Stegostoma tigrinum: one gene and its partners. The protein of the gene in region 2 interacts with the protein of the main gene of each other region in a biochemical or structural test. Links are inferred from orthologs where the notes say so. Each region holds a gene or a part of one and is shown on either strand. Other genes may lie near its edges.

Region 1 (7,868 bases), on a different chromosome or scaffold from region 2:
AGAAATTGCTGGAAAGGCTCAACAGGTCTGGCAGCATCTGTCAAGAAAAATTCAGTTAATGTTTCGGGTCTTGCAACCCTTCCTCAGAAGTAATCTAATTTAGTACCTTCTCAGGGCCTAAGGTTGCAGGCTAGCAGGTGAAGGAGCCCTAACAAGTACAATGCTACCACCAGACAGAGGAGTGCCTTTAAAGTGGGTGAAGTACAGTCAGCATGCAATTTGTTCCTGACTGTTGCTGTGCTTTCCGTGTGTTGTTAGAACTGCTTCTGTCCAAAAAAGTGGACAAAAGTGTTTTTGTTCAGTAGAATATTCAAAGATTTGGTCAGAAGAACATTCTAAAACAGTAAAAAACAATACAATCCTAAAAGAGTGGATAAGCAAAGGGACCCATACACATCTATCAAAAGATCAATGAGAGTGGCAGGCCATTTGGAGATTGCAGTTAATAAAGCTCTGCGGTCAGCTATACTAATAGCGGCATACAGTACAAAAACAGGGAGGTAATGTTGAAATTGCACAAGACACATAATAGACCTCATCCAGAATTCTGTGTACAGTTGTAGGGACATTATAAGAAAGATGTGAATGCACTGCAGGTAGGACATAGATTATTTACAAGCATGGATCCAGGGATGAGAAACTACAGTTATTAGGATAGATTGAAGAAGTTGGGATTGGTCTCCTTTGAGAGAAGGCAGCAAAGAGGATTTCTGATGTAGGTCCTCAAAACCATGAAAGGACTAGACAGAGTAGACCAGGAGAAGCTATTCCTGCTAAAAAAAATTGCGAGGAACTAGATATAAAAGGATGCACAAATGAAGCAAGGATGATGTGACAGAACTTTTTTGGGGGCAAGCAGTTAGAGTATGGAATGCATTACCAGGAAATGTGATGGAGGCAGGTTCAATAGAGGCATTCTAAAAGTCATTAGATGATTACTGAGATGTAAATGGTGTGCAGGGATATGGAGAAGAGTCAGGCAATAGGTAACAAAACCAGGCCAGGCACAATAGGCTAAATGGGCTCCTCGTGCGCTGTAACAATTTTGTCATATTGTGGAAATGCTTTATCCTGGATGGTGTCAAACTTCTTGAGTGTTGTTGGAGCTGCACTAATCCAGGCAAGTGGGGAGTATTCCATCACACTCCTGACACATGCCTTGTGGATGGCGGTTAGGCTTTGGGGATTCAGGAGGTGAGTTACTTATTGCAGTATTTCCAGCCTCTGACTTGTTCTGTATTTATATGGCAAGTCCAATTGAGTTTCCGATCAATCGTAATTCCCAGGACGTGAAGAGCGGATGATTCACTGATGGTAACACCATTGAATGTCAAGGGAAAGTGGGTGGATTGTCTCTTATTGGTAATGGTCATTGCCCGACAATTGCATGGTATGAAAGTTACTTGCCACCTTTTTGTTTTGCCCAAGGCTGGATATTGTCCAGATCCTGTTGAACATAGACTGCCTCAGTATCTGAGGAGTTGCAAATAGTGCTGAATAATGTGCAATTATCAGCAAACATCGCCACTTCTAATGTTATGATGGACGTAAGGTCATTGAGGAAGCAGCTGAAGATGGTTGGGCCAAACAGGGCAGAGTATCAGCACAACAACTCCCCCCAGGATAGTGTCCCACAACACCCCTAACACTTAGACAAAAAGCCAAAGCAAAACCCCCTCCAAATCTCCACCCCTCAGTTGTGACCCTCTGCCAAGGCATGTCTAGTCCCAGTAATGCACTGGTAGCCAAGTTTCTTTATCTCAGCTTTAGTATTGGGTCTATAACATGACCCAGAATCAAGATGCTTACCACTCACCTATATCACACACAAGGTAAAGAGGCACCAGGAATTGGCTGGTAAATAATTTGCCATGTGTTGAGCAAATGTGAAATAAAGCGACTGAATAGAAACATTCTGGGAGACATTTGTTATGATCTGCAGAGAGACCAATAACGGTGAGAGCAGAGACGGACACCGAGCAGGACCTGAGTGTAGGTGCCATAACAAATGAGCTTCTTTTAGAGAATATATTCTCTGCTAATACCACACTCCTGGAAGCATGTGTCTCAGGTCCCAAAATAACATCAAGCCACTGTAGGAAGCCAGTCTCATTCTTCTGGAATATGTCTAACACACCAGACAGCAACAGAACTGTCAAACACAGAAAACTGACAACAGACAAAAATAACATTGCACAAGAAATCTAACACAACCTTTAAAACAAGGAAATACAGAAAATACACCAGGGCACAGAATGCAGTTTTAACCCCGTTCAGCAGATGGATGGCTTATGGGATCGGGATTTACAACCCTGCCCAGTATTAATGATAATCCACTAACTTCAGAGTGAATTGGGAAGGATAGTTGATGAAAGGAGACAAAGCCTGTTTTCTGACACAGTTTCAATTAGATTTATTCCCAGACACACCCAACCCCATTCCCACATTCAGGAACACACAGACTCACACAAGATCACAACCCAACCAATCCTCCCAGTGACCCTGAACCACCCCAAATAGCTGCCCGCCTCAGACATACTGCCCACCCACAACAGCCCCTCGACCAACACCACCCACTCACCCAGAAAAACCCTTAGACACAAACACAGAGCTATGCGACCCCACCCCAAAATGGATGGTGTCAAAGGTGGGGAGGTGGCTGGGGGTTGAGGGTAGGGAGAACAGTGACAGACGGGGTGAGGGTGGTGGGTGTGAGATGAGAACGGGGTGTGTGTGTGTCGGGGTGGGGGTGGTCCGTGCCCCGTCCCGGGTGGGGCTCGATGCTGCCGCAGGCCGCACTCAGGCCTTGGCTCCTGCAGGATGGGGAGGAGTACCCAGGGCCTGCCTGCCGGGGCCGGGATCCCAGCCCGTATCCCTCAGACTCACCCGCTGCAAAATCCGGCGGAACATGGCCTGGTCCTGCCCGAGAGACAGACGGAGCCGGGGACACGTTGAGCAGAGCCTGGGCCGCCGCCTCCTCCTTGTCCTGCCAGAGCCAGCAGCCGGCTGTGTTAGCCCCACCCAGAAAGGGAGGGGCCTGAGCACTAACGCCCCCTGGCCGAGGGGATGGGGGAGGTGCCCCCGGGGTGGGGTTGGGGGAGGTGCCCGCAAGGTAGGGCCAGTGGTTGGGGGTGGGTGTCACCGGGTTAGGGCCAGGGGGTGGGGGAGGTGCCCCCGGGGTAGGGCCAGGGGTTGGGGGTTGGGGGAGGTGCCCGCAGGGTAGGGCCGAAGGTTGGGGGAGGTGCCCCTGGGGTAGGGTTGGAGGAGGTGCCCGCAGGGTAGGGCCAGGGGTTTGGGGAGGTGTCCTCAGGGTAGGACCAGGGGTTGGGGGAGGTGCCCGCAGGGTAGGGCCAGTGGTTGGGGGAGGTGTCACCGGGTTAGGGGTTGGGGGAAGTGCCCCTGGGGTAGGGCCGGGGGTTGGGGGAGGTGCCCCTGGGGTAGGGTTGGGGGAGGTGCCCGCAGGGTAGGGCCAGGGGTTTGGGGAGGTGTCCCCGGGGTAGGGCCAGGGGTTTGGGGAGGTGTCCTCAGGGTAGGACCAGGGGTTGGGGGAGGTGACCCAGGGTAGGGCCAGGGGTTTGGGGAGGTGCCCCCGGGGTGGGGTCGGGGGATGTGCCGGCAGGGTAGGGCCAGGGGTTGGGGGGGTGTCACCGGGGTAGGGCCAGGGGTTGATGGAGCTGCCCGTAGGGTAGGGCCAGGGGTTGGGGGAGGTGTCACCGGGGTAGCATAGGAAGAGGTGGGGGTTAGTGCCATACCTCTCTCTCCTTCCTAGATCTCTCTGCCTCCATCTCTGCTGACCGCCTCAAAACTGACATCTATTTCAAGCCCACCAACTCCCACAGCTACCTAGACAACACCTCCTCTCACCCACATTCCTGCAAGAATGTTATCCCCTAGTCCTAATTCCTCCGCCTTCGCCGCATCAGCTCCCAAGATTAGGTGTTCCACTCCCAAACATCCCAGGTGTCCTCTTATTTCAAGGACCACAACTTCACCCCTTTAGTGGTCAAAAATGCTCTCCACTGCATCTCTTGTGTTTCCCGCACTTCTGCCCTCACAACCCCTCCCCCCCAACAAAAACAAAGACAGAATTCCCCTTGTCCTAACATATCACCCCACCAACCTGCGTATCCAATATATCATTCTCCGCCACTTCCACCACCTACAATCTGAACCCACAACCAACAATATATTTCCTTCCCATCCCCATCTGCCTCCCTTAGGGTCTGCTCTCTCGGTGACTCCCTCGTCCGATCCACACTCCCCACTAATCCCACCAGCCCCACAGCCCTCAGCACCTCTCCCTGCAACTGCAGGATGTGCTACACCTGCCCTTACACCTCCCCCCTCATCCAAGGCACCCAACAAACCTTTCACATCAGACAGAGATTCACCTGCACATCCGTCAATGTGGTCTATTGCATCCACTGCTCCTGATGTGGCCTCCTCTACATCGGTGAGACCAAGCAGAGGCTCGGAGATCGCTTTGTACTGTGCCTACACTTGATTCACGACAAATGACAACGCTTTCCAGTCCCGAACCATTCCAACTCCCCCTCCTACTCCCTGGGTGACGTGTCCATCCTGGGTCTCCTCCAGTGTCACAATGACGCCACCCAGAAACTGGAGGAGCAGCACCTCATATTCCGCCTCGGGAGCCTACAGCCCAATGGCCTAAACGTGGACCTTGCCAGTTTTAAAATCTCCCCAAGTCCGGCCTCATCCCATGACCAACCCTCCCTCTCATCCAGCCTCCTTGACCTGACACAACCTGTCCATCTTCTCTCCCACCTATCCGCTTCTCCCACCTCACTTGACCTTCTTACAAAAGAAATTTGAACTTCCAGTTAACAGATGAAAGGCCAACATGAGGAGATTGTATTTTTGAGATTTATTGTAACAAATTAACTAAAAGTAACAATGACTGAACACTGCCTTTACTTTAAATTATAGAACCAAAATTTTTCTCCTTTACTTTTAACGTACTGAAAACCCAGTTTTCCAGGTAAACATTATGCTGTCTATCAAGCAGGCTGTCTATCAATTTTTAGACTCTTCCCCACAATTCTTTCTCTAGTACATCAACGACATCAATGACACCTGGGGCGGCATGGTGGCTCAGTGGTTAGCACTGCAGGCTCACAGCGCCAGGGACCCAGGTTCGATTCCACCCTTGGGTAACTGTCTGTGTGGAGTTTGCACATTCTCCCCATGTCTGTGTGGGTTTCCTCCAGGTGCTCCGGTTTCCTCCCACAGTCCAAAGATGTGCAGGCTAGGTAGATCAGCCATGCTAAATTGCCTGTAGTGTTCAGGGGTGTGTGGGTTGTAGGGGGATGGCTCTGGGTGGGATGCTCCCGGGGGGGTGAGGACTTGTTGGGCCGAAGGGCCTGTTTCCACACTGTAGGGAATCTAATCTAATCTGTGCTGCCTCCCTCCCTTGTCCTGATCTGGGAAAAAAAGATCAATTTCACTTCCAATTTCCACCCTACCCTCACCCTCATCTGGGCCATCTCTGACTCCTCCCTTCCTTTCATTAATGTCCTGTTTCTATTTCTGGGGAAATAGGCTGGCCACTGACATCTGCTAGAAACCCACCAACTTGCCTGGTTACCTGGACTGTACATTCTCGCACCTTGCTTCTAGTAAAAACTTGATCGCATTCTCCCAGTTTCTCCATCACTGTTGTGTCTGTTCTGACGATGCCACTTTCCTCAGGGAGCCCAGGAAATTTCCAGCTTTTTCCTCAACTGAGGATTCCCCGCTACTGTGGTTGAAAGACCCTTAGCCATGTCTGGCCCATCTGCCTTTACCCCTTCCCTTCCCTCCCACATCAACGATAGGATCCCACAGTCCTCACTTACAACACCACCAAGCCTCTGAATCTAAAGGATTGTAAGTCGCCAACTCCGTCACCTCTAGCGGGATGCCGCAAACAGGCACATGTTCCTCTCCCCACCCTTTGTCAGCATTCTGTTCCCTCTGGGACACCTTGGCCCACTCCTCGCCCATTCCCAACACCTCCCCACTCTCCCACAGCACCATCCTATGCAAACGCTGAAGGTGTTACACCTACCTGCTCACCTCCCTCCTCACTATCCACGGCCTCAAACACATCTACTGTAGTCCCTGCCCACAATGTGGTCTCCTCGACACTGGGGAGATGAAATACAGACTGGGTGACTGCTTTGCAGGACACCCAAGCTCTGTTTTCAAAAATGACCCCGAGCTTCCAGTTAGCTGTGACTTCACCACACCACTGTGTTCCCACACCAACATTTCCGTCTTGAGCCCACTGTTCTAGTAATCCTCAGTGCAAGCTCACACAGATCCTGGGGGGGGGTCTAGGCCCAAAACGTCAGCCTTCCTGCTTCTCTGATGTTCCTTGGCCTACTGTGTTCATCCAGCTTCACACAGTGTTATCTCAGATTCTCCAGCATCAGCAGTTCCTACTATCTCTCTCAAATCATGTAGCTGTTTTGTTTCTTAAATTGTCAGGGTATTTCCCCTTTATTTCCTCTTTTTCTGCTACCCTCAATCTTACCCATTAGCACCAGGTGTTTTAGTTTCCGTCTCTTGAGTGTATGACCAAGGCATTATAGTTGTTTTATGGTGACCATCTGCAGATGTTTTCTTGTATTTCTGCTTTGCTCAAAAGTCCCATGACTAAATCCAACTAATGCTATTTATAACAAATACCTTTTCTATACCATTTTCTAAAATCAAAACTGAATACCAGTAATACTATTTCTTGTCAAAATATTAAATATATTATAATGTTCTTCACTCTACCAAGTGATCCTTCCTAGTTTGTTTTCTTTATTTTGCTGAAATAAACCACACAGAATGACAGAAAAAGCCATTCAGCCCATTGTGTTTATTCCAGTTCTCTTAATGAGTGTCATGATCTAGTACCATTCTCTTGAATTTCCCCTGTAACCCCACATATTGATGATTATCTAAATAGAAACAATATCTGAAGAAGGGTCTAGGCCCGAAACGTCAGTTTCCTGCTCCTCTGATGCTGCTTGGACTATGTGTTCATCCAGCTCTGCACTTTGTGATCTCAATACCTCCATTGAACCTGCCTCCATCACGTTTCCAGGAGGTACATTCCCGACCCTAATCACTTGGAGGGTGAAAACTACTCTCGTCATACTTACCCCTTTTGCAAATTGCTTTAAAACTGTGCCCTCCCGTTCTTCACCCTTTTGAAAGCAGGAATAGATTTGCTCTCTGTGCCATCCAGATCTCTTATGATTTTGAAAATTACAATCAATTCTCCTCTCAAAGGAAGACAGTCCCAATGTCATAGCATCATAGAATCCCTACAGTGTGGTAACAGGCCCTTCGGCCCAACAAGTCCACACCACCCCTCAGAACATCCCACACAGATCCATCCCTCATAACCCAACTAACCTATGCATTCCTGAACACCATGGGCAATTTAGCACGGCCAGTCCACCTAACTTGCACACCTTTGGACTGTGGGAGGAAACCGGAGCACCCGAAGGAAACCCACACAGACACAGTGAGAATGTGCAAACTCCACACAGACAGTCACCCGAGGCTGGAGTCAAACTCAGGTCCCCAGCACTGTGAGGCTGCAGTGCTAACCACTGAGGGTAGTTACGTTGGTGCAGGATCGATGGGCCGAAGGGCCTTTTCTGTGCTCTATGAATCTATGAATTTCTCCAATCTACCCTCACAGCTGAAATGTGTCATCCCTGGAACTATTCTTGTAAACTTCTCTGTGCTCTCTCAAAAAATTCCTGAAGTGTAGCACTTTTATTCCAACTGAAATCTAACTTGTGCCTGAACATGTTCAACACTACCTCCCTGCTCTTGGACTCTGTCCCGTTATTAATGAAGGC
Region 2 (7,785 bases):
TGTGTATTAGCAGAAAGCAAGTTTGTTTTTCTTTCTGCAGTTGCTGTAATCTGTGACTTCTAATTAGTAAATCAGAGACCTTTGTACATGTGATGCAGTCACTCCGTATCTTCTGATCAGCCCAAGAACCATCTCAGCGAACCTTGTGAACAAAGACCATTAAACTACCTTCCCAGTCATTCCCACAACCCATAACACCCGCTTCTTTTTCCTCTCTTTATAACTGTCAGTATGTGTGTGTAGATGGCAAGTTTTTATGGGGATTAGAGTTCCAAATAGTAGAATTATGTACTAATAGTTCATCATTTGTTACTGATGACACGAAAATAGGTGGAAAAACAAGGTGCAAGTTGGGGTGGCACGGTGGCTCAGTGCTGCCTCACAGCACCAGGGACCCACATTCAATTCCAGCCTCAGGCAACTTTCTGTTGGGAGTTTGCACATTCTCCCTGTATCTGTGTGGGTTTGCTGCAGTTTTCTCCCACAGTCCACAGTGGTGCAGGTTAGGTGGATTGGCCACACTAAATTCCCCACAGTGTTCTGGGAAAAGTAGATTAGGTGGGTTACGGGGTAAGGCTCTGGGTGGGATGCTCCTAGTGTCAGTGTGGACTTGATGGTCCAAAGGGCCTGTTTCCACACTATAGGGATTCTATGATTCTAAGAATTAAGAAGTTTACATATGGATCTAGATAGGTAGGTGAAGGGGGCAGAACTTGGCAGATGGAATTTAACGTGGATAAATATGACGTTGTCCAATTTGTTTGAAAGAATAAAAAGGCAACTTATCAACTAACTGTACTGAAAATTCAAAATACTTTAGCGCAAAGGAATCTTGGTATCATCATGCATAAATTATAGATATTGTTTATGCAGGTCCAGCAATTAATAAGGAAAGCAAACAGAAGTTTAGCATTTATTGCTAAAGGAGTAGCGTATAAAAGTAGTGAAGTGTTTCTGAAACTGTACAAGGCATTAGTGAGACCACGCCTGGAGTACTGTGTGTAGTTTTAGATCCCTTACCTGAGAAAGGATATAATTGCATTTGAGGCAGTCCAGAGAAGGCTCTCTAGATTAATTCTAGAAATGGAAGGCTTGTTTTATGAGGGAGAGATTGAGCCGTTTAAGCCTATGCCGGCTAGAGTTTAGAAGAATGGGAGGAAATCTTATTGAGGAATATATGATGCTCAAGGGAATTAAAGTGGAGAGAGTTGTTCCCCTTGTGGGACAATCTAGAACAAAACACGATAATTTTAGGCTCTGGGGTCGCAGATTTAAAACAGAGATTAAGAAGAAATAGTTTTCCCAAGAGGTCATGGATTTGTAGAATTCATCATCCTAGAGTATGGTGGATAATGGGCCACTGGGTAAATTAAAGAAGGGGATGGAGAGATTTTTACATAATCACAGGTTACGGGTTTCAGGGGAGACAGCAGGAAAGTGGGATTGAAGCCAAGATTAGATCAGCCATGACTGTTTTCAATGGCAGAGCAGGCTAGATGGGCTGAATTGCCTGCTCCTGCTCTGAGTTCTTATGTTCTACTGTGCTTGAAATAAATATTAATTTTTGTTAAATACAACAATCTGGTCCATGATTTCTATCAATCCTGGTTATGCAAGTCAGATACATTGGAGGATTCTGTGTACATTTTCAAGTATTAACTTTTATGACATCTCTAGAAATTGTGGGGCTTGATTCCCAGAGCACTATCCCAGTGAGATAGACCAAAGCTGCTGGAGTGCTCCAAAATGAAGTACATGACAGTATTGTATGTGGATTCGAGATGTGCCATGGCAGTGCAGTCAGGCTGGTGTGTGCCCAATGTTTCATTCCCTCTCATGAATGTTTCTGTTGTGTGGATCTATGAGGTCCAGACAAGACAGCAGATTCTGGAATTGGAAGCCAATGTGATCGACATGCATGGAATGTCCCAGCAGCTGCATTTGAACCCTGGCCTGATGCCAATAACCATGGATGGGGTCAGTGTTAAAGATGGAGACCTGGAGTTGCCAGGCACCCGACTGTCACATTGGGAATTATTGCTATCTCGATTCTATCCTGCAGTTGGAGAGCTGCTTTTAATAAGGCAGGTGTAGGTAATAATAAAATGTCAATTTATGCAAATACGCTTTTCACTACTCATGTGCAGGATGCTCATCTTGCAAAACAATAACCTGTTTGCTTGGACGGAGAATGGGAATTATTGCTGTCAATACCAGAATCTCCTTCTTGCTGATTGCACCTGATTTTCTCAACTTTCTTGCTAATGCCCATGTTGTTCAGTGACTGGGAAGATTCTGTCCAAAGAGGTTGCCTAAAGATATAGTAAGGGTAAGTTGCATGTGGTGGATGTATTAGAGTATGAGGTTATTCACCTTTGTTCTCTGTATTGAAGAACTGAATATCTTTAAAAGGTATGACATTTAGAAATGCTGATGTTCTGAAAGACTTAGGAAGCTTACACAATAAACATGCAAAGTTAGTGTGCAGGTACAGCCAACGATTAGAAAAGCAAATGGCATTCTGTTCTTTATTGCAAGGGGATTGGAGTTACCAGAAGAAATAATTCTTGTTCAAATTGTACAGGACTTTGGCAAGAATGAAAGAAGGCAAACTATTCAAATTGAATACAAATGATTTATTTATTTATTTGATGGGACAGCACACTTAAAATTTAAGAGATAAGTTTCCTTTGATCAGCCATAAATTGAAAGAACTGAACAACATAAATTGAGGCGATTCACGCTATTTTCAGAAACAAGACCATAAGAACAGGGCTTTTCAGCCCCTCAAGTCGGCTCCATCATTCAGTAGGATCTTTGATGATTCAATGTTCCTCACATTCACTTTCCTGAATTTTCCCCATAACCCTTGATTCTCCTACTGATCAAGGATATATCTATCCCAGCCTAAAATACACAGGACTCTGCACCCACACATCTCTTTGGCAAGGAGTTCCAAAAACTCACAACCCACTGAGAGAATAAATTTCTCTTCATGTCAGTCTGAAATTGGCACCCCTTAATTCTGAAAATGTACCCTTGACTCTTCTAAAAGGGTTAATACCCTCTCAGCATTTATCCTGTCAAGACCCTTAAAAATGTTAAATGTCTCAATGAGATTACCGCTCATTCCTCTAAACTCCAGTGAGTAGAGTTCCAATCTCTTTAGTCTTCACTCATAAGACAATCCTTCCATACCGGGGATTACCTAAGTGAACCTGCTCTGAACTGTTTCCCTTGAAATGTATCTTTTTTTAAATGAGGGGGTCAAAATTACTCACAATACTTCAAATGTGACAGCCTAGCCTGGAACTAGGGAAACTTCAAATGCCACCAAAACTGGGCTTTATGTAGATGTGTCATAACTTTTTTGGTTTTGTACTCTGTACCTCTATTGATATAACTCAGGATTCTTTTTGTGTTCCTAACTTTCCCTGCCTTCTTCATTGATTCGAAACTCCCAGGGCCCTCTACCCCCGTATTCCCTTTATAATTATTCATTTCTCCCTGTTTTCTTCTACCAAAATGAATCATGCACACAGAACTTGGGAAGTCTGCCAGGGGGTTTTGGAATAGTTAAGTCTATGTAACAAATCCTTGCGTGGACAAGGGTTTTAGTTCCAAACAAGTCAGATGAGGGTGGAATTGATTAATGTTACAGAAGTCAAAATTAGCCATTGTAGAGGTTGCACAAGAGTGAATGATAAAGTTTAGGTACAGATCAGCCATAATTTAATTAAACATTGGAAAACCAAAGCCATTGACTTCAGATCCTCTGAAGTCAGCCATTCCCCAACTACTGACGTCATCCTTTCCATGGCAATTGTGAGAGAAAGAGCTGAACCATTTTGCTACCTTGGTGACACACTGGATTCTGTGCTAAACTTCTGATCCCTTTTCCTCACCATCATCAAGATCACTAATGTCGACCCACGGAAGATTGTCCATCTCTGCACTGCCACAGCACATCTGTTGCTGAAACTCTCTTCATTATTACCTCTAGCTTTGACTATTGTAACAGTCTCTCAGTAGATCTTCCACACCCTGCACTCCATAAACGTGAGCATTTCCAAAATTCTGATGCCCTCATAACAAGTCACTTTTATCCATTTGACTCTTGCTCCATAACAGCATGACTTTAAAAATCCCTTCTTTTCTAATGTTTCCTAATTCCTCTTGTGTCTTACCCCTTTGGATCTTGATAACCTCCTTTGGGACAGTTTACCTTCTAGATTTATGAGCTCCTTCAAATCAGTGTCTTATGCATCCTCACTTTCCAATAGTTCAATATTGGTGAGCATCTGATCATCAGCTTCAATCCTAAGCTTTGGAATTCCATCCCTAAAATTCTCTGTCTTTTCCATGAACTAACCCCTTGTGTCCTTTCCATTTGACCAAACTTTTCTTCATTTGTTCCAAGATTTCCCCTTATGGCTTGGTGTCAAGTTGTGTTTGCTAGCACTCCTGTGAAACGCCCAGCAATTTTACACAGGTACAATATGAATATAAGTTGTTATTTGCTGGAGTGATATAATTCCAGATAATTGTGTCAATGTTCCCTGTGAAGAAAGTGAATACAACCTTTTAGCTGCATTCTTATCATGTTTGGAATTTTTAAATTTTTCTCTTACATCATGGTTTTCAACAAAAATAATTAACTTTAATAGCTGTGAGAACTGGAAATGGTTAACATGCGGATAAGAATTTGATATTCTGTTCTTTAAGTGCAGTACAGCGAGAATATTCTGCTGTGTCCCAGCAGCTAGGCACAGTGAAGATACTGTGCTAGAGATAATGGGAACTGCAGACGCTGGAGACACTTTGTTATCTCGAAGATACTGTGCTGTAAGCGGAGTGAGGATATCCTGCTCTTCAAGTGACTTTGGGAGAGGATTGTGAGGAGGGCTGTGGAAGAAGTTTGAGTGTCACGTGATGAGCCAGAGCTGAGAGTTGTTGCAGAAGTTTCTGTTCATTTGGAGGGGAGCTGGTTGCTTGCAGCGTTATAGGAGGTAACGGGCGAACAGCGAACTGGGTCAACCCAGCCTGCAAATAGCATGACACAACCCTTCAACTGATTATGGCTATTCGAGAATTAAAAGTCTGTCTCCTTGGGGTGAGTAAGATAGCCTGAGTTCATTTCCCATTTGAGTTCTGTGCACACCTCAAACAAAAAAAAGCCTGTTACTTCTCTTGGTGTCTAGCTGCTGGGACACTGTGGATTTCTGTGCGTCTGTGTGTGTGTGTGTGTGTGGTTGAGTTGATATCTCTGCCGTTTCTCGCTGTTTCGTGTCTATCTGTGGCCGTCTTTTTTACCCTGTTGGAGACTGGACTTCTTCCGAAGTCTCAGACACTGAAGCTTCTCTCCCCGTTGGCCCCCATCCTGCAATTGGAGCGTCTGCACTCGGGCGATTTGTTGGAATGCTGCGTGTCTCCAAGGAGGAATTCCACATCCACAGTTCCTGCAGCATGACAGCAGCTCGCCTTACCCCCAGATTCTTTCCCTTCATTATTTAAATTAAAAAAATAACTTGAAGGCAATTTAATACAATTCCGGAGCGTAGGATACTCACTTTTGAAACAAACTTCCCCTTTTGTTATGTTACCAGATCAGAAATCTGCTGCCGTTCTGAAATGGCTGTGGAGCTGCAAAGTGGGATTCTGCAAGTCTCGATCGTGCAAAAGTAGGAGGAATTGAAATCATTTTGGGCACTTTGGTGAGAGTGCAGGGAACTAGTCCATGCTGATGGGGTTCACGGTACATGAACCGCGAGAGGGTTTCTGACTGGTCCTTGTATTTCCAATGAAGTCACTGCCAAATGTCTGTTTTTGCTAAAAGGACAAACTGGTTTAATTGCATCTGAGTAATTATTCCGTTTGACTTCGCTTTGTATTGCGTTGGCAAATGGTTGCCCAATGCAGATGTTCACTGTGTGAGCATTGACTCCCTATGAAGCGACCCCCGCCAATCCCAGTCCCTCTCCCTGTCTCAATATCCCTACAAATGCACATCCCCGGGCAGTTATCCAAATTCTTTTTGAAATGTTTGATCTTTTTTGCTCCCACCGCACTGTGTGGGTAGAACGTTCCAGGTCAATCCCACTCACTGGATAATTATGAAGAGGTAACAAAAACAGAATTGTTGGAGAAACTCGGCAGTGTCTGTGCGGAGAAAGCGGAGTTAGGGTTTCATTTCTGGTGACTCTTCTTCAGAAATGGATTCTCTGCTTGTGATACTCTCCCATTTCTGAACAAGGATCACTGGACTTGTAACGTTAACTGTGCTTTCTCTTTTAGCACGAGCTATCAGACCCGCTGAATTTCTCCAGCAATTTCTGTTTTTGTTCCAGATTTCCAACTTTTCCAACATTCGCAGTTCTTGGTCTTAAATTATGAAGAGGTGAAAAGTCGCCTTGTTTTTTTTTGAAGATATTTACTTTTTATATATTTTTAAAAATAAAACCTCATTAATCTGCATACCACTTATCCAATGGAATGATTATCCTGTTAATGTACAGAAAGTTTTCCCTGCAAGTACACCTGACCACATTGTGGTCACAGTCAAGTAAGCTCACTTTTTTAATTGTCCTGGAATCCAGATCTGTGGAAGGTTCAAGGTGAAGATCAATTTGGAGCTGGCTGGAAAAATCAAAATGAGGATATAATATCCAGCTCCAAGCTTCAGCTTCAATACCAGGTTCCCCAGCTAAAATGAGCTACCTTACACTGTCAAAGAACATTTAGTTTCAGGTAAAATGTAGTCAATAATTTCTGTTTTCTTCCACATTAAAAAAAAACTTCAGCCGTTATCAATTTAGATTCACTGTGAGCCATTGAGTTGAATGATGGAAGGGTTGAATGTTTAAATCCTGTGTTTCAATGTAATGCACGCATGGCAAAAATCAATTTTAAAAGTGGAGCAGACCATGCTTTCCCTTTAGCTGTGGCATGGTAATGCGCCCCATCACTTGCTTGTTATGATGGTAATAAGCCACGTTGCCTGCAAAGTGATATTCTCTTGGACTTCAGCAGCTCCTCTTCCAAGTCATTGATAAAATGGCTGGGGATGGTGGTCCTCACAATTGCTTTCAGTCCTTCTTTTGGGAAGGTATCTGTTCTGAGCCATATGTATATGACCATTGTTCTTTTCATTTGTTTTTAAATCATGGAGGTCCTGTAGAGGTGTAGGTACGCCCACACTGCTGGTTGCGAGGGAACTCAGGATTTTGACCCAAAGACATAGAAGGAAAGGTGATATATTTTCAAGCCAGGGAGCCCGTGACTGGGAGGAGAATTCACGGGGTATGCTTCCTATGCACCTGCTGACTTTGTTATTCTAGGTGATAAGAGTTTTTGGGTTTTTATTGAAGGCATTGGTGAGTTATTTTTATTCATTCATAGGATGTGGGGGCTGCTGGCTGGGCCAGTATTATTGTCAACTCCAGGTTCCCCTTGAGAAGGTGGTGCTGAGCTGCTTTCTTGACTTGCTTCAGTCCATTTGGTGCAGATAGAACCCCAATTTTACTAGGGAGAGAGCTCCTAGATATTGATCCAGTGACACTGAAGGAATGATGATATATTTCCAGATCAGGATGGTAAGTGACTTGGAGAGGACCTTGCAGATGTTGGTGTTGCCATGTATCTGCTGCCCTTGTCCTTCTTGATGTAGTGGTTGTAGGTTTGGAGGGCATATTGTAAGTAGCCTTGGTGACTCTCTGCAGTGCCCCTTGTAGATGGTACACACTGCTGCTACTGTGACAATATTGGAGGAAAGAAAGTCATTGGGCA
Region 3 (7,663 bases), on a different chromosome or scaffold from region 2:
CTAACTTCAGAGGGGACAGCATCATCACTGTAACCACATCTGTACAGGCCAGTAAACAGGTTCACAATATATTATCAATCCAACTTTTATAATACATTTGTGGGATACAGACATCACTTACTAGGCCCACATTTATTGCCTATTCTGTATAGCTTTTGGTGATGTGGTGGTGAGCTGCTTTCTTGAACCACTCATCGGACCATGTACAGTGCTGACTGGAAGGGAGCTCCTGGATTTTAACTCAGTAAGTATTTCATACAGCATGATGTATATTACAAAAATGCTCACTCCACTTGCAAAATATTAATGCTACTCTTAGAGGTGCAAGATTTACCAAGTATTAAGTGTAGTGAATTTTAGTCAAAAATGGTTTGACTGAAGTAGAAAAATGAAAGAAGGTCACGGAAATTACAAACAAAAATTGAATAGATGCCTGGCCGTGATTACAGCATTTTACGAATGACATAGAGAACTGAATAGAAAAAAACTGTCACAAACAAGATCTGAAAGAGAGAATTACAGACCATCCAAATGAACCAAAGCTCAAAACATCACGATGAACAGAAACAAAAACAGGAGTTGCTGGAAAAGCTCAGCAGGTCTGGTAGCATCTCTTCAGAGAAATCAGAGTTAACGTTTCGGTCTGGTGAAGGTTCCTCAGAATGTTCTGAGTAAGAATCACCAGATTCACAATGTTACTCTGATTTCTCTTCAGAGATGTGCCAGACCTGCCGAGCATTTCCAGAAGTTTTGCTCTTGTTTCTGATTTACAGCATCTGCAGTTCTTTTGATTTTTACATAGATGATCATAGTCCTTAACCCTTTTTCTCCATATCCATCATCCTAAATTTATTGCCATTTTCCACTTTCCATGGACAACATATTCTAGCTAGTCACCAAATCATATATAACATAGCTAAACGCAAACTGTTCTGACTTCTCTTACAAAGTGAAAACTGAACCTAATGATCAAATTTATGACTTCAGAATTATTAACAATGCAGTTCCCTGAACATGTATCCTTTAGAGTTTTGAATAACTCCAGAATATATCCCAAAAACTCTTTCCTTCAATTTCCTTCCCCTATTTTTGTCATTTACATTTCTGATCTGAGAGATCAGTTTGGATAGCTTTTACTATACTTCCAGCAAGTCAAAATAGCGAAACACCCAAGAGGTTTCAGAACCATTATGTACAAATTGAAGGCTTATTGATGTGGCTTTCTAATGCAATCATGTTGCGTAAAGAAGACTTACGCCTGATGAGAAATGGAATCTACAGGGGTCTTAGAAAAAAATAAAGTTGATTAGCCCAGTTGGCTGGACAACTGGTTTGCAAAACAGAGTTAACACCAAAAAATGTGGGTTCAATTCCTGCACCAACTGAGGTTACTACGAAAGGCTCCCCTTAACTTCTTCCCTCATCTGACGCCCAACGACTCTTAGGTTAAACCACAACCAGTTGTTTCTTTCTAATGGTCTGCTTGGAATGTGGTAAATGTAGCAACAATCGTAGTATTGGAGTAATGATTTCAGAAACTTTTATTTTCAACATTCTGACTGAAACAAATCCATAAATTCATAGTCCGATTTGTTATCCGCATCAGAATGTCAGAATGTTATCATCACACATTCAAGTTCATTTTCATAACAATTGATCACAATGTGAGATTATGTTAAGCTACATAAATCAGTAGGCCTGTGCATGCTTGGTTAGACAATCCAAAATGAGTGGTAACTAGAGTTACAACTGGCTTTAACACCTTGGAACGAACAACAAATAATTTAAACAATTCTGTTTAAGGGGAGGTCATGGTCTTGTGGTGTCTTTGACACAGGATTAATCCGGAGAGCCAAGTAATATCCCGGGGATCTCACATGCAACTGAAAAAAATGGAATTAAGAGTCTAATGATACTCATGAAACTATTATTGATGGTTGGAAAAACCCATAAGGTTCATTAAAGTCCATTAAGGAAGGACACTGCACACTACACGCATCCCCAAAGCCACAGCTAAGTGTTGGAATTTTAACTGCTTCGTGGGCAAAATAGATGGGCAATAAATGCTGGCCTACCCAGCAACATTCACAACGTTAATGAATAAAAAAAGCTGAAAGAGGAAAACAACAGAAATCCTACTCTCGTTTGCTATGTTATGATTCCATCAAAAACACTGACACGAGTTGGAATTGGGATGAGGCTCAGCTCTGATGCACCTCATAGTGCAACGGCCCACCACCGTTCATTTTGGTCCTCTCAAGAGGCGAGCCATTCGGATTCAATGGGGTGGGGGGTGGGCGTGGTTAACACCATATGTAGATTCCTAACTAACCTATGCATATATCAACACTATATTAATACAAGCCTTTCGCAAAAACTGCAGAGCTTTGAAATAAATATGCAAGCTTACAAACGACAACGAAGTGTCTTCGTCACAAACTAATGATCTCGTGCATCAGCACTGCAGAGCAAAACCACAAAAGGGTAGATTGCAGAGCACCAACTCAGCAACAAAACAAACCATTCCTGCAAACTCTGGAAGTACAGTGTTTCTAACAACTAACACAATGCGTTCAGGATAAAATCTCCAAAGAGTCTCGAATTAAAAAAAACTTCACGGATCAGCAACCACTGTCTATCTTACAGGGTTAAGAGGTGGTGGGCAGGTTGCAGTGGTGGAAGAAGTGCACTGGACCGATGAGTGGGCTGCTGGTAGGAAGATTCAGGCTGGGCCCAGCGCTGCCTCCGCTCTTTGAGCCGGCCGGGCCCCAGCTCGTTTCTGTTGTGTTCCTCAGTTGCCAGGATCCCGGCCCTATGTTACACCCAGTCGCTAATTTGCTCATCTGCCCCATGTTAAAGGATATTATCACGGGCTTCCCTTTTCCTCTCGGTGCCGGCTTCTCCATAAGGTTTCCCGGCGTACAGTTCCCCTACCCGCCACGCAATTCGGACCACAGCTCGGTACCTTCACCTCGGCGACATTGCTTCAGTCAGTCAGCCAACGCCAACGAGTTCGATCCTCCCACTGGGCAGGCCAAGAGCGGCGCCACCTTCTGACCTGGAGGGTGGAGCGCTACCTTCCTACATGAGCTAATGCACTCCTGAACATTACAGAGGTAGCGCACCACAATTTAATTATAGCATATTTTAATATCTCTCGAAATAAGCAACAACGTACATTGAAAAACGCTGCAAAATATATTGCGTTTCTCATTCTCATAGCTAGCATTTTTTTTCTGAGGACAGCTCTGATATTAATTGCACCGCAGGGCAACACTAAAATATAATCAAAAACCAAACCATAAAACAAACCACAACAATTTCTGAATTTACTGTACACTGTAGTCCCTAAGGTACCCTCTAGTCACGGAAGCATAGGCACGCCGGGCAGAACTCATGATCCTTTTCCAGGGACACTCCACCCACATACATGAAGGTGCCAGTGTTGGACTTGGGTGGACAAGGTCAAAGATCGTATGGCACTACAGTCCAGCAAATTTATTTGAAGACACAGCTTTTGGCATCATGCTCCCAGTCCAACTCCGTGTTGATGCACAGCGTCATTCGAAACAAGGCCCCCTCACTTAAAATGCATTGTCTGACCTGAGATGTCATCTCCGATATACTGGTAAAACCCTTAGTTATCTCAGGGCAGTGACTTGGAAGACATTCTGGAATTTGCATATTAATCCTTTCTAACCGATTGAAGATTTAACAGCCATCTTAGGTTTGTTCAACACATTTGCATCAGTTCTATGACCCTTTGATCTTTTGCTTATAAATTGTGTCTGATGGCACCTCTCACTGACACCTGAGGAAGGAGCCAGATTCTGAAAGCTTGTGTCTTCAAATAAACCCATTCATGGTTACAGCTGCAAAACAGCAGCAAAGAACCATATGATCAACGCCATAAACTACATGCAATGTGAAGTCAGTTCTGCTATCAGACCACAAGAGTCCACGTTGACTTTCCCAGCACGTGACCTTCCCTCCTACATCATGTGTCAGTAGTGATGAATGCAGGACTGAAGAAGAACTAGAAGTTGAGGAACTGCAGCATCAAACAACAGTGGACAACGATCATAACCTCACACATTGTGTGCAAATATTAACACTGGCACATTTTGGCAGGAAAAAGTACAAACAGCCTGGGAGCCAGTGAAGAGATATAATAAATCCAAAGATGTGCAGGTTAGGTGGATTGACCATGGGAAATGCAGGGTTACAGGGTAGGGTAGGGGGTTTGGTCCAGGTGGGCTGTTCTTCGGAGGGTTGGTGTGGACTTGATGGGCCGAATGGCTTTCTTCCACATTGTAGGCATTCTATGATTCAAGTGATAAATCAGATTTTAGTACAGTACCCTACATCTTCAACATGAGGAAAGCTCAATGTTTTGAATTAACTCTTTCTGACAAGTGCCAAATTAGACCAGGGATTTAAGAGGGAAGAATTAGTGTATGAGATCATTCAGTTCTGACATTTGGCAATAAAACAATGTTGGAAAACTTACTAACCTTAATGGGCAATGGTTGTACAAACACAGCGTACAAAATGAGTACAAAAATAGGTACATCCATGAAAAGAAAACAGAGTTTGTTCATACAACTGTGCACCAGAAGAGCATACATGCATTACAAATTGAGCGGCTTTAACAAAGACAAAAGATTACAAAAAGTGTGTTTCAATATAGTATTTTTCCTTTTGTAACACAATGTTCATTTGCAATAGTGCAGCTGTCATCCTGGCAGAGTATGAATCATGTGCAAATGTTCTGCACCACATAAATATTCCTTAAATATGAGTTAAAATAAGTAAAAGCAGTTAATAAACTTTCTGAGATTTGTCGGCACAACATTGTGGGCTGAAGGGCCTGTTCTGTGCTGTACTGTTCTATGTTAACCATACTAAACAAGAATTAACTGTGCACTATAACACATTGAAAATAATTGACCTCTAATGCATAAATAAGATATACCTTATTGTTTATTTCTATGTTAGACAATTACAAAATTACTCCCAATTGTAGGAAAGCTGGTCTTTTTGTTATTTTTGTTATCGTGGGATGTTGGCATCACTGACAAAGCTAGCATTGATTGTCCATCCCAAACTGTCTTTGAATCAAAAGGCTTTCTTGGCCATTTAGAGGGCTGGTTAAGATAAGCTACATTTCTGGAATTACATGTAGTCTAAGCCTGCTAAGGATGGAAGATTTCTTCGCCTAAATTCATTCCCAATTGAGAAATAACAAACAAGCCTTAAAGCAACATGTGAATGTTTAAATTCGGCAAAGCTTAAAGACAGAGGCATAGAAATTCAAAGGAGCTGCATGTATTTCTCAGGCACAGAATGGCGTGAGAAACTATGATGCACCAACAGGTGCAGTGTAAAAGAAGAATGTATGAGTAACTATTTACTGGTGTTTGGGTTTGCAATATTTATAACTAACATGAATGTGGGGAAGTTCCTCGCTGTGTGCTGAAATTGGTTCACATGTTAATTGAACAATATCAGACTTGTTACATGTAACAGCGTCTGTCACAATTTTTTTTAGTTTTTACGGGCAGAATCCTACTGGATCCTGAACAACTTGGGAAGTGACAAGGAATCTCAGAGAATTCAGTGAGAAGTCCAATGGGGCTTTTCTCAATATTGGGAGCATGAAATTACATTTTCAACAGCGTGCCAGGTATTGAGACAAGATTGTTGTTAGGGAGCGGTGAAATGCCTATCGATAGGGCTTTTTGCTTAATATTGCCCTCATTGACACTAATATGCAAGTTCCTATGCTACCAAGCAACTGATAGGAATGATACAAATTCTCAATGCCAAGAATTCACAAAATAAAAGTCAGAATGTGCACCTGGTAAACACGATTGTTCCTCCAGACAGCCAACCTGGACACCCAGCATCAACATTTCAGACAGGCCCCAGAGCAGTTGCTTTTCCCACCCACATCCACAGATGCTTGCAGGGTGGGGGTTGGTGGGGCAATAGCCAACCTGTCCACATCCTTTGATACATCCTAATCCACTTACAATGTGACTCTGTGCTGTGATGTTGCACTTTAAGCCACACTTGCAGCTCTCATTGCAATATCACTGACAGGTCACAGCTCACATGAACAGGCACCCATCTCGCAAACTGGACCAGGCTGCATCTCAGGGGTGCCACATCATCTCTTAGCACTTGCTTGCTTAGCAACTACCTGGATGCTCACGGTATTCCCATCTTACCTTGTTTTGTCTTCAACATGTTGCCCTTGAAGAACAACAATGTAAAGTCTCACAGTACTTCTGTATTGTTTTGCACTTGATTGTAGAAACAAAGCCAGGCAATTTGTCACCCTTGTCAACAGTCGGGGGTGAACAGATACGACATGTGACAACAATAAATCAGATCAAAATCAAACTCACACCTGGAGAATGTGCCAGCTTCCTGCATGGCAAACGTTCTGCATCTCTATAACCAAATGGTCACGTCTCAAAGTTGAAGGGGAATAGTCCTGAGGGGAATCAAGAGATGCTGCTAGCATTTGGGGGTCCTAGTGCAGATGGTCAAGTGCAGTCTTACAGAGCATGAGCTTAGCAACAGCCAGACATCCAGATGAACCAGTAATGGTCAAGTGATCCATCTCTGCATAGGCTGAGGAGTGAGGGAGATGTAAGGGATTAATGCAGGGATTGTGGGCTGTAGCCAGGGATGTGGAGGGCACATGGATGGGGATGGAGGGGATCTCAGTATGTAAGAGGAGAGCTGGTAATGCATGAGAGAGCATGGGATGCTACGGGAGGAGGAATGATAGGATACAATCATCATTGCAACTTCATTTGCAAGATGGTGGTCATCACCAAGGTATAGTAACAGGGTCCAGGTGGTAAGATGGATATGTGAAAATTCAGTTTAATGTGGTGGTTGAGCACAGGTGAGGTTCTGTGAAACAAAGTCAGAAACTACTGGAAAATCTCAGCATGTCTGGCAGCATCTGTGAAGTGAAATCAGAGTTAAAGTTTCATATCCAATTACCCTTTTCCAGCAATTTCTGATTTTGTTTCAGATTTCCACAATCTACAGTTCTTTCAGTTTTTTTTGCCCAGGGTTTTGTGAAGAAACACTATCCAGGGAACACTAGGCAGAAAGAGATGTGGAGGTTTGGTCAAGCGGGTGAATCTGACTACCAGACCAAGCCTGGTACTGACAGTGTCCAGCTTGACCTGCATTTGCTTCCACATTCTGCTGCACCAAGCTTGGGCTGAGCGCGTCATTTTTTAGCCAAGAATGCAGGCTCCAATCCAGTCCGATATGCCAGGGATGGGCTTTAACAGTTCAAATACTGATCAAAGACAATGTCGTCCATGTCATTAGTCCTTGCAAATTGCAGACAGAAAACTCTGTGAAGCAGAAGTAACCACAGGTGACCTTAAATGAGACACCAGTGGGCCACATCACACACAGTTAATTCAAGACTTCCTACAGGATAGAGGGCCACACAAACTGGTTACCTCTCCAACTGAAAGGTAAGAATGGTAGAAGCCTATTTTGTTTGCAATTATGCAATTTTGTGGGTGATGTGGGGCTTGGGACAAGGTTACTAGTGTTTATCCAACATTTGACCTCTGCTACTATCAATCTTCACCATGACCAGTCGAGCACTGGGTAAAATAAA

The links. The genes of interacting proteins can lie anywhere in the genome.
Region 1: the proteins of rab31 (region 2) and eea1 form a complex in vitro, tested with the Homo sapiens proteins (2 studies listed by BioGRID). The link is inferred for Stegostoma tigrinum from reciprocal best matches to the Homo sapiens genes RAB31 and EEA1.
Region 3: the proteins of rab31 (region 2) and ocrl form a complex in vitro, tested with the Homo sapiens proteins (2 studies listed by BioGRID and IntAct, with this or other methods). The link is inferred for Stegostoma tigrinum from reciprocal best matches to the Homo sapiens genes RAB31 and OCRL.

Annotation. Positions count from the first base shown.
Region 1 is NC_081378.1:49,458,730-49,466,597, forward strand, and holds the start of eea1 (early endosome antigen 1), read right to left. Parts: upstream 3,013-7,868; 5' UTR 2,911-3,012; coding exon 2,887-2,910; intron 1-2,886. UniProt on the Homo sapiens protein: Binds phospholipid vesicles containing phosphatidylinositol 3-phosphate and participates in endosomal trafficking.
Region 2 is NC_081358.1:114,882,593-114,890,377, forward strand, and holds the start of rab31 (ras-related protein Rab-31), read left to right. Parts: upstream 1-4,778; 5' UTR 4,779-5,077; coding exon 5,078-5,113; intron 5,114-7,785. UniProt on the Homo sapiens protein: The small GTPases Rab are key regulators of intracellular membrane trafficking, from the formation of transport vesicles to their fusion with membranes.
Region 3 is NC_081368.1:44,350,991-44,358,653, forward strand, and holds the start of ocrl (inositol polyphosphate 5-phosphatase OCRL), read right to left. Parts: upstream 3,013-7,663; 5' UTR 2,907-3,012; coding exon 2,865-2,906; intron 2,802-2,864; exon of another isoform or gene 2,645-2,801; intron 1-2,644. UniProt on the Homo sapiens protein: Catalyzes the hydrolysis of the 5-position phosphate of phosphatidylinositol 4,5-bisphosphate (PtdIns(4,5)P2) and phosphatidylinositol-3,4,5-bisphosphate (PtdIns(3,4,5)P3), with the greatest catalytic activity towards PtdIns(4,5)P2.